Linked DNA regions of Sus scrofa. The protein of the gene in region 3 purifies or fractionates together with the protein of the main gene of each other region. This does not show direct contact. Links are inferred from orthologs where the notes say so. Each region holds a gene or a part of one and is shown on either strand. Other genes may lie near its edges.

Region 1 (3,750 bases), on a different chromosome or scaffold from region 3:
AAAGAAGGCTAACAGAGACCAGTGCTCCACACTGTCTGTACTAAGTAGACAGTGGTAAAATGATGGGTCTCACATAGTGAGGTCCAAAAGCACATTAATGAAAATGAAATAGGTAGCAATAGTGGCAACACACTTTTAAGTGGCTCAGACAGCATCTAGAGCAAGGCCAAAGGTAAATGGGTCCATCCTGAGTAGAAGATTATAATGTCATTTAAACGCAGTAGACTGCGGTGGGTCAGAATGGAGACTTCCAAGTCAGGAGGACCAAAATCCAGACATTGTGGCTCCTCCTCTTATTAAATGTGTGAACTTGAACATGGTATTTTACCTTCCTGAGGTTGTATGCCCTTCCTCAGCACATTCAATGATAAACATCTGAGTGCTTGCTGCACAAAAGCACTGTGCTCACTTCATTAGATGTTAAAGAGTGACACAAAAGGAGTTCCCTGTTGGCCTAGCTGGTTAAAGGATCCAGTGTTGTCACAGCTGTGGGTGCATGTTTGATCCCTGGCCTGGGAACTTCCACACGCTGCAGGTGAGGTCAAAAACAAAACAGGAGTTCCCATTGTGGCTCAGTGGTTAATGAATCCGACTAAGAACCATGAGGTTGCGGGTTCGATCCCTGGCCTCTCTCAGTGGGTTCAGGATTTGGCATTGCTGTGAGCTGTGGTATAGGTTGCAGACGCAGCTCAGATCTGGCATTGCTGTGGCTGTGGCGTAGGCCAGTGGCTGAGCTCCGATTAGACCCCTGGCCTGGGAACCTCCATATGCCATGAGTGCAGCCTTAGAAAAAGACAAAAAGACAAAAAACAAACAAAACAAAACAAAAAACCAGTAACACAAAAAAGTGATGCAGACTATAGATCTTAAATGTTCTTATCACAGAGTTTCCTCATGGCACAGCAGGTCAAGGATGCGGTGTTGTCACTGCGGCAGCTAGTGTCACTGCTGTGGTGCAGGTTCAATCTTTGTCCCAGTAACCTGACATGCCATGGGCGCTGCCAAAAAAACAGAGTTCTCATCCCAAGAAAAAAATATTCAGAGTTCCCATTGTGGTCCAGCAGGTTAAGAACCTGACTAATGTCCATGAGGATGTGGGTTCTATCCTTGGCCTTGCTCAGTGGGTTATGTATCCTGCGTTGCTGTGGCTGTGGTGTAGGCTGGCAGCTGCAGCTCTCATTCTACCCCTAGCCTGGGAATTTCCCTATGCCACAGGTGCAGCCCTAAAAAAGCAAAATAAGATAAAAATCTGTAACTATGTGCAGTAATAGATACACTAAACACACAAATATCCAATCATTATGTTCCACATGAGACTAATATGTCAATTACACCTCAGTTTGGGGGAAAAAAAAGACGCAAAATGTTAAACAGAGCAAAGGAATAAAATAGTGAGAATAAGGGACAATTCTAATGGCCAGAGAAGAGTTCTCTAAGAGATGTATCTGAACTGAAACCTACATGAGGAGGCAGCTCTGAGGTAAGGATTCCAAGCAGAACAGGAAATGCAAAAGTCCTGAGTTGAGAACCAGCTTGGTCTGTTCAAGTAACAGAAAGAATAGACAGGGAAGCTGAAGTACAGAGGGCAGAGTAGGTGAGATAGAGCAGGAGAGCTATATATTTGACCTCCTAGGCCGTGGGAAGGAATGTTAATTTAAGCACTTTGGAGAAATTTAAGCAGAGGAACGATATGCACTCAAAGCTGGAAACAGCCCTGTGCTGTACCTGTAATAAAACTCTAAAAATGGCAGCTTTGCAAACAGAAAGAGGCACTGCTTAAAAAGGCGCCACTCCCACTTACCAAGAAAGTCTCCCATTTTCGGGGGCGATTAAGAGAACCTTGCTGATATACCCAAAAGGAAAGATCAATCTCAGATGTGGGACGAAAGTCTAAAACTAGAACTGGGCTTCTTTGAGCCTTGGCGAGCGAAGAAATGTCCTTCGAAAAGGGGTAGGGAAGGGAGGAGTTAGCCCAACGATGTGACAGGCGCAATGCCCGGCGACAGGTGCCTCAGAAAACCTCTGCTCCTAACTTTCGGGGAACGCTCGCCAGGGTCGTCCTCAGAGCCTCCGCCTCCCATATCTAGAAAGCGCCGCTCGCCGAATCCCCCACAGGGAGCTCATCCCAGTGCCTGGTCTACCGCTGGGACCTAGTAAACTCAACTAGCGTTCCTAAGTCGGCTCTGCCCAGCGAGACCCTCGCTGACCCCGGAACGTCAGCTGAAGCCCGCAGCCGCTTCTTCCCGCCAGTCTCCGGACCCCTCAGCCCCCGCTCCCAAACCCGCACCGCTTTCTCCTCAGCCCCAGGCCGCTCCCCGCCTCAACTCACGGGTTGTTATTACTCATTGTGAGTAACAAGCTGCTAAGGAGCCGCACATTGGAGTGCAGCCCCGCGGCCGCCATGTCTCGCACGTGGTCTATCACATTCATTCCGCCCAGCCAGGCCGCGGGGAGCGGCGGCACCAGCGCTTAAAGCCGGTAGACGCTCCTTAGAGAAGACTCCAAAATGGCGGCCCCGCCGGGGTCCATCGGATCCAAACGAGGCACCGCCCCCAAGATAATAGGCAGCTACTGAAATGCCTGAAAAAAAGCAAACAAACAAACCTCAATTCCTTCCCCGCCATGCCTCGTGTGAAGCGGTACAATTTGGTTTTTGGGGTTTTTGTTTTTAGTAAGAGTTACACCAGCCTTCTGAACTGCAGTCTTTATTGAGGGTTTACAGTTGGCTGCAGACAAAAGACACCTCAGAATGTATACATGCTCAATTGAAATGCGTCTGAGAGGAATTTGTGTTTCATAAATTAATAAAAAGTGTTTAACATCATAAAAGTTATTTGTAGGTGGGGGAGGAATTCCTAACAGCTGGAATTAAATATTTCAATCAGGCGCCAGGGGCAGCACTGGCTGCCACAGGAGCTCTAGGCAAAAAGTGCCACGCCCCCCCTCAGGTGTTATGGGCACCTGCAGGCGGCTTTACTTTTTTGATTGAAGTATAATTGATTTATAATTTCCGTTAATTTCTTCTGTACGGCAAAGTGATTCAGTTGTACTTACATACATTCTTTTGATTCAGTTGTACTTACATACATTCTTTTTCATATTTTCCATTATGGTTTATCACAGGATATTGACTGCAGTTCCCCGTGCTCTGCAGTTCCCTGTGCTTGTTAATCTATCCTACATATAAGAGTTTGCATCTGCTAACCCCAAACCTCCAATACTTCCCTCCCTCACTCCCCTCCCCCTTGGCAACCACAAGTCTGTTGTCTATGTCTGAGTCTGTTTCATATATATGTTCATTTGTGTTGTATTTTAGATTCCACATATAAGTGATATCACATGATGTTGACTTTCTTCTTCTGACTGACTTTTCCTTAATAATCGCTAGGTCCATCATGTTGCTGCAAATGGCATTATTTCATTATTTTTTATGGTTGGGTAGTAGTCCGTTTTATGTATGTATACATACCATATCTTCTTTATCCATTCATCTGTTGATGGACATTTAGATTGTTTCCATCCATGTCTTGTGAATAGTGCTGCTATGAACATAGTGGTAATTGTATCTTTTTGCACTGTAGTTTTATCTGGATATATGCCCAAGAGTGGGATTGCTGGATCATAAGGCAATTCTATTGTTAGTTTTTTGACGAATCTCCATACTTCATTTTCCATAGTGGCTGCACCTATTTACACTCCCACCAACAGTGTAGAAGAGTTCCTTTTTCTCCAGCATTTGTCGCAGCATAT
Region 2 (3,750 bases), on a different chromosome or scaffold from region 3:
CAACATGGTTCTCCAAACGAACACATTGCTGAGGGGAGGAATCCAATTTCTGTGGGCCCCCAAACTGTACATCACTTCACTGAGAGGCCAAGCTTCTAAACATCACTTAAAGAATCAATAATTCTGGAAAGAGGAGTTCCCTTCATTGCTCAGTGGTTAACAAACCCGACTAGGAATCATGAGGATGCGGGTTCCATCCCTGGCCTTGCTCAGTGGGTTAAGGATCCAACATTTCTGTGAGCTGTGGTATAGTTCCTGTGGGCTTAGATCCCCCACGTTGCTGTGGTTGTGGTGTAGGCTGGCAGCTACAGCTTCAATTCGACCCCTAGGCTGGGAAGTTCAACATGCCGTGGGTGCAGCCTGAAAAAAAGAAAAAAAAAATCTGGAAACAAAGATTCCTTATGGGCTAGCCATAGTTAAGCTCAACCAATGTTCCCACTATATGTGTTAGACGGTCATGAAGCCCAAAATAAGTTAGAGTTCCCCCTCAAAAAATCAATTCTCACTAAATACCCTAACGCTCAACCCAATCCCAGCAAGAAAATAGCTTTAATTGGTAATTTGCTTACAGAACCAAGTGGTGATTTCCTGTTGAGATTAGCAGTAAAATGAATAAAATAATAAGTAAAATAAACAGACTTGAATGTCAGAAGGGGTATAATTATCAAGTTTAATGACTTTACATCCTAGTGCCCTATTCCTCCAGGACCTTTCAAATAAATCTCTCCACAAAAGTAGATTTTAATGTTAAGGAAGGGCGCTGAGACTGAGCTCTGGGAAAGAGCGTTGTCTGAGATAGGAAGCTGTTCATCTGCCTTTCCTTGGGATACGAGTCTGCTCAGAAGGATGGCGGAATAACAAATTTAACCCTGCAGCGTGACGGTTTGGTAAGAGAGAGCAAAGCAGAAGGCCTGAAATGCCGTGCGTTAAGATAAAACCCTAAATGACAAAAGTGAGCAAGAAAAAATAAAACGAGTACTCCAAAGGTAGCGGAGAAATACGGACCCCACAGCAAAAAGAAAATCCGGGAACGAGGAGGAGAAGGACCCGGAAGTCCTCTCCGCCCCGGCCACGCCCACTACTGCAAGGGGCACGCGCACGCCGCTGCCGGTCCCTCCACGCGGGCGCGAGCACGGCGCCGCCCTTGTCGATGTTAACTCGGCCGCACCAGTCGGCCTTGGGGGCGGGGCTGTAGGGGAAAGTGCCAAAGCTGCTGAGGTAAGTGGCCGAGGGCTCAGGGACCCTCGAGAGCCTGGTGGAAAGGGACTTGATCTCTGGGATCCTACCTGCAGGGACTAGTAAAATGGAGAAAGTAGGAGGAGGAATGGGAGCCTGCCGCAGAGGGCGTGCAAGAGGAAATTTCCTTAGGCCGCGCCTGGCTAGTGCGCATGCGGGCCGAGGGCTGGCGCCTGCGCAGTGGAACGGCGCTGTTGGCGTAGCCCTCTGGGGACTCGATGGCGGGTCGGGGTGGGGGTGGGGGTGAGGCTGTGGCTGTGACTTGGAGGTAGCTTGAGAACCGTTGGCGTTCTGATCCCTCCTCTTGGCAGCCCATTTCTTTCCGCCCCACTTGTTTTTAGCTGCACATCTTTTTGAATGGTAATCCAGCTGTTTAAGTGAAACACAGCGGAATGAATGTTTTCTTGATGATGGAGTTTAATAATTGCTTCTAATAATTTGCCATTGTACCAGCGTACTTCCTTCAGTATCTTTATGATAGGACATTTTTAAAAGGAAAAGGTTCTTTCTAAGATAGGTATATATCTGCCAGGAAGGAAAGTAGTTTATGAATACGAGGTCATCCCCATCGTATATGAAGTAAATGTGTTGATTATCTCACCAATGTGAACACAGCCGTGCTGTATCTCCCCAGAGAGCATTGTTCTACTGCAAGGATCGCTACTGCTAATAGTTCCAGCTTTCCTGATAGCGTCAAATCCCAGGTTACCTCATCATCAGTATTTAAACATTTGTCAAAATTTTACAGAGCATCAACTTTGGGCATAGCAGCCAAGTGGGAGAAAGAGTTATGTAAATAGATCTGCAGAATGAGGAAGAAAAACAAAATGATAATGAACCAGTCCTCTTCATACCAATCTTCTCTAGCCCCTGGGTAACCTTTGCTGAGCTGCTCGCCCTGTGTTCTGTCATTTGTTCATTATTCAGGAGAAATTGTGATCCAGGTTCTGTGCTAGGCCTCCAGGGTAAAAAGATAACTCCTCCCCCTTTTCCTAAGAAAGGGGTTCTTCCTAAGATTATGAACCTTAAAAGTGTGAAGTGCATGTTAGTGTGAAGTGCATGTTCCCTCTTTCTGAGCAGGTTCTTTCCCCTCTAGGAGTGTGCTGACTATATGTCAAATGGAGGGAGTAATAACTTTTCCCTTGAGTGTGTTGAAACAATAAGTATGAAAAACCGGGATCTGGATAAAGCAGTGAGATCCTGCTGTATGGCACTGGGAACTATATCTAGTCACTTGTGATGAAGCATGATGGAAGATAATGTAAGAAAAAGAATGTATATATGTGTGCGTGACTGGGTCACTTTGCTGTACAGTAGGAAATTGACAGGACACTGTAAACCAACTTAATGGAAAAAATAAAAATCATTTAAAAAAACTGATCTGGCATAGGGAAAAAATGATTCAGGAAAAAATCATTAGTGATTTTGGATAACTAATATTAAGTGTTTACTGTACCTATAACTGTTCAAATTGCTTTAATTATATTAAGCTTCCTAACATGTCTGAGGTAGGCACTATCATTATCCCAATTTTAGAGATGAGGCAACTGAAGAGTAAAGAAGTTAAATGATTTGTCCCGAGTCATACAGATACGAGCCTAGACCAAGAGGCTTCAGCCTGACCTCTTAACCACTATGCTCTTTCACCTCTCACATGGCACATGACATGCCAAAAAGCCATTGTTTAAAATATGGCCCAGCAAATAAGCTAAAGTCTCTACACCTCAGTTTTGTTTGGTCATCTGTAAAATAAGGGAAGTGGATTAGATGACCTTAAAGGAGGAATCTTGTGGTTCTGTGAAATGCTTAACTCATTCAGCAAACATTTATTTAAATCAACAGCTACTTAGTATAGGCCAAGCATAATGTTTGGTTCTGGTGATCCAAGTGACTGCCTTCATAGAACAGTTACAAACTAGGGTTTATTGTTTGTTTCACTTTCATTCATCACATACCACCTGCTGGTAGCACTCAGAATCTCACCTAAATTTTTAAAGCTAGAAATTACTTGGTTGTATTTTTCCACTTAAGTGGAAAACTGCTTATTTATGTTAAAGTTAGTGCTAATTCTGCACTCCGCTTTTCAACCCTGGCTGTTTTGTGTACTGAATGGTAGTTCTGAGTTTGAAAGAAGACTATTCTTTTTAGAAAACATAAACTTTTTAGAATCTTTTGTAAACATGTAGTGTAAATTTCCATTTTGAACTTTTGTAAGGATTCATGTATTTGGTACATATTTTCTCATTTACATGTGGACTTTCTGGTTTTTTTGCTGTGAATGTGACATAGGATTGAACACTCATACCTCCTCTATTCCTAATAGGCCCTGAATTCTAAGACCATTCCTGAGCTGTTTTGTTCCAGTTTTGGGACGCCACCAAGTGATCAATTTGGATATTACATTTGGATGAAAAAGGTTTTTCTAATTTTTAATGAAAGGGCCAATATGTATTTCCTAACCAGTTCCCCTTCCTTGGGAACAGAACACAGTGTTATTCTGGAATTTTATTCGGA
Region 3 (3,650 bases):
CATTCCCATTCAAAGGCCAATTCCTTGGATCTAAGTTCACCTCCTCAGTCCCCATTTACTTTTTCCACTCCACTCTACCCTGTCCCCCAGGTGCCCTGTCCGAGGTCAGCAGTGAACTTACTGCCATCCAGGCACCACCTCCTAGTGCCATGCTTCACCAGCACTGGCAAGACCGGCATCTCCTTCTTAAAAGCTTCTTTTCTTGTGTTCTATGACTTTTCCTGCATGCTTCTCCCACCTGACTGCTCTTGCTTTGTCCCTCTGCCTCAGCTTTATTTCTTTCACCTCCAAATTTTACATTTCCAGGACTTGAGTCTGTGGCCCTCTTCTGATTCTACACAACCTGGCTTCAACTACTTGGAGGTCTCAGACGCTGTCTGAGATCCTAATGAATGTAAAACCCTCTCCTTAAGAATCCTATATACTGCACATACACACAATTACTATTTTTGATTCCAGAGGGTTACCAGAACTCCACAACTGCAAGCTCATACACAGGCCCTCCAAGAACAAGACCTCTACACACTCTGGATATTCCAATCCACCCATCTCGCCTCAATCACCACTGATAAGTAACTGCTCTTTCCCCTGAGTTTATGACTCACATCTAAAGCACCTTCTTACAGCAGCACTCATCAAACACAACAGCCCTAGGGCAATCTCTCTCAACCTCCTCCTTCTCAGTCCTTTCCCTTCCTCCTGCACAAACAAGGTTTTTGACAGTAGCTGTAATTTCCGGAACATACCACACATCACACTTCTGAACTTTTGTTCTGATCCCCTCTAACCACCTACTGTGTCCTGCCCCATTTACCCAGCCAGCAAATACTGAGTCACCTTGCCAAAGCCCTACCAGCAGACACAGCAGTGCCTCCTGTGTCACCATCCGCCAGCTATCTCTTTTTGGGGACAGGGATGGTGACTTACTTGACTAATAACCTACAGTCGCTAGCACACACACGGGCACTCACAAAGAGAAAATAAAAGGAGAAAGGTCACACAGGAAAGAGATCTGAGTTTGTTTCCCAAAACAGCTGATATCCCACTAACATAAGGACAAAACTTAAGAAAAAATGCTATAAAATCCAAGTTTCCTAATCTACAGAAAACAGTTGTTTCTCCCTAAAACATCAAACACTTCAAATGTGAGAGATTACTACTACTAACTTAAGGAAGAAATAGCAAATGGCAAAAGAATATTAAGATATCACCTTAATATAATTAATATGCTCTACTGAAACTGAGGTAGCCTTAATATATATCTCCATGTATTTCTTAAGTATTAATGATGGCTTATATTCAAAGGAAGCTTTAAGCAAAACTTTTAGCATCATTTTTCATTGAATACGAAAATACATACTGCAAACCTTGTATTAGTAATTGTTTCTGTCCACAAATGGTCAATACAAAGTTCAGGAACAATTGGCTCTGTTTCTGGTGCAAGAAAGGAGCCATTAGAATTACTATTTGGAGAATGAGAAATACTGTGTCTCTTTGGAGATTGATTATGGCTTGAAAGGTTGAATCTTTGCACCCCTGAAAAAGAGTGCACTCCTAAGGCAGGAGAATGAGCACGACTGCAAACAGAGAAGAGAGCATCACAATTAATAATGCAGGCTGATAGCACATACTTTCCAATAACACATTCCAACTTCTATGTACAGAGTATTCATGGCATCAACCCAGTCAGAAACAAATTTTTTTTAAAAAGCAGTAGCTACTTAAATGGTGTGTCAACATGCGTTAGTATATTCCATAGATTTAGAATCCCTGTTAGAATTCATTTTTTAAAAAACTGAAAATTAGTCATTTTCTGCCTCAGAAAATGGTTTATATTATTCAAAAAAGTCTAAACTATGTTCCTGTACATTCAGATGTATACATACCAACAAAACCATGTCTCTATAGCACCAGACAGATATTAATGAAAACAAAAGCTAATGCAAATTAAGACAAAAGAAAATAGTACCAAAATATTTTTTGCAATTAATACCTATTAAACTTCTGCCACTTAGTGGTAAAAATGAGGCAATCCTTTAGTTGATTTTTAGTACAGCTGATCTACAATGTTGTGTGAGGCAATCTCATGACAAGCACCCTTGGCTTCTAAACATGACTCATTGAAAAAGTAACACAGCAGGCCTGGAAGTCTTAGTAAAGCTAGCACAACTGGAATAATGCTGTTTTTCCTAAAGTATACTCAGAAACTGTCAAGAGAAATTTTAAATCCTTCAAATCACAAGAGGAGTTTAAAAAGAAGGGATCTTTTTCTTGGGGTGTCTGGTTTAGAACAAGGAAAGGCTTCCACACTTAGGTCGCACCTGAGAGCTGCCATGTTGGAAATGGAAGGTGAGCGGGAGTGTAGGCTGGGAGAGGAGGTTGAGCGGCTCTGGCTGTGAATGGAGGAGTAGTTCTGGAAAGGGGAGGCCACAGGGGAATCTCCCTTGGAGAGGCTTCTGAGGTGCGCTGTGAGGGAGCTGCTAGTGGCCACATGCTGCGGGGTTCCTCCCTGTTCCGAGAACTTTAAAACAACATTCTCTTCCTTAGATCAAAAGAGAAGGGGGGAGGAGACAAAAACTGGATTAAAAGGGCAATTTCTTGTGAAAATACAGGGTAGTTACCAGTTAGTAAAAATATAACTTTTTTTTCTAAGACACTCAACATATTTCACAAACGATTCTTCCAAAAACATGCAACGTTTTTAGCACTAACTAACCTTTCATATTAAGAAATGACTTGCCTTTTTTTTTAAGGGTAGCGCTTGCGGCATATGGAGATTCCCAGGCTAGGGGTCAAACTGGAGCTACAGCTACCAGCCTACACCACTGTCACAGCAACGCCAGATCCAAGTCATGTCTGCGACCTACACCACAGCTCATGGCAACACCAGATCCTTAACCCACTGAACGGGGCCAGGGATCAAACCCGAGTCCTCATGGATACTAGTCGGACTCATTACTGCCAAGCCACAATGAGAACTCCAAGAAGTGACTTGCCTGTATCCTTACCTCTGTTTTGACTCTCCGGAGAGTCCACACAGAATGCAAACCATGAACAGTGTCATAGGTCATTACAATGGAGGGATCAGTGCTGAGAAAAACAATTTTCATTGCATGATCTACAACATATTGTACCCGTGATGAACCAAAAAGACCTTAAAGATAAAACAGAAATGATCAGGTACAGAACAATGGACTTTCTAAGACTGTTTATGAAGTTCAATTTCTAAAGACGAAGATGCCAAGGCAATTAAAGCACAAAAAGCCCTGCTGATACACAATTAACCCTCAATTTTTAACAAATTTACTTTGGGCATCAATTTCCTTAAAACATATTAAAGGTGAGAGTGCTACGAGTCTTGATTTCACACATATTCAATTAAATGTTGAAGATCTGTGCTGGCTAAACCATTAAATTCATCAGCCAAAGGTAAAAGGTCCATGACTCCTTTAACAACAACTTATTCAAAAACTGCCGTCAATTACCCTGCCAAGTTTGACTTCCTTACTGGTACTTTTCTTCTATGTGAAATCTGTCCTTTATGGTTAACTATTCAAACAATGCTGAACAGTACACTGCTGTTTCTGCTTTAACTGGGTACACACGCAAAGTAAGTTTTTCCTAGTGAGTTTAGCTTTTACATCTATAGT

Evidence for each region.
Region 1: the proteins of ANAPC1 (region 3) and ANAPC7 fractionate together in Homo sapiens (co-fractionation; 6 studies listed by BioGRID and IntAct, with this or other methods). This does not show direct contact. The link is inferred for Sus scrofa from reciprocal best matches to the Homo sapiens genes ANAPC1 and ANAPC7.
Region 2: the proteins of ANAPC1 (region 3) and ANAPC16 purify together in Homo sapiens (co-immunoprecipitation; 5 studies listed by BioGRID and IntAct, with this or other methods). This does not show direct contact. The link is inferred for Sus scrofa from reciprocal best matches to the Homo sapiens genes ANAPC1 and ANAPC16.

Annotation. Positions count from the first base shown.
Region 1 is NC_010456.5:31,787,215-31,790,964, forward strand, and holds the start of ANAPC7 (anaphase-promoting complex subunit 7), read right to left. Parts: upstream 2,537-3,750; 5' UTR 2,431-2,536; coding exon 2,330-2,430; intron 1,940-2,329; exon of another isoform or gene 1,818-1,939; coding exon of another isoform or gene 1,802-1,817; intron 1-1,801. UniProt on the Homo sapiens protein: Component of the anaphase promoting complex/cyclosome (APC/C), a cell cycle-regulated E3 ubiquitin ligase that controls progression through mitosis and the G1 phase of the cell cycle.
Region 2 is NC_010456.5:75,081,597-75,085,346, forward strand, and holds the start of ANAPC16 (anaphase-promoting complex subunit 16), read left to right. Parts: upstream 1-1,076; 5' UTR 1,077-1,218; exon of another isoform or gene 1,219-1,385; intron 1,386-3,559; exon of another isoform or gene 3,560-3,652; intron 3,653-3,750. UniProt on the Homo sapiens protein: Component of the anaphase promoting complex/cyclosome (APC/C), a cell cycle-regulated E3 ubiquitin ligase that controls progression through mitosis and the G1 phase of the cell cycle.
Region 3 is NC_010445.4:44,521,881-44,525,530, reverse strand, and holds part of ANAPC1 (anaphase-promoting complex subunit 1), read right to left. Parts: intron 3,155-3,650; coding exon 3,009-3,154; intron 2,543-3,008; coding exon 2,322-2,542; intron 1,578-2,321; coding exon 1,368-1,577; intron 1-1,367. UniProt on the Homo sapiens protein: Component of the anaphase promoting complex/cyclosome (APC/C), a cell cycle-regulated E3 ubiquitin ligase that controls progression through mitosis and the G1 phase of the cell cycle.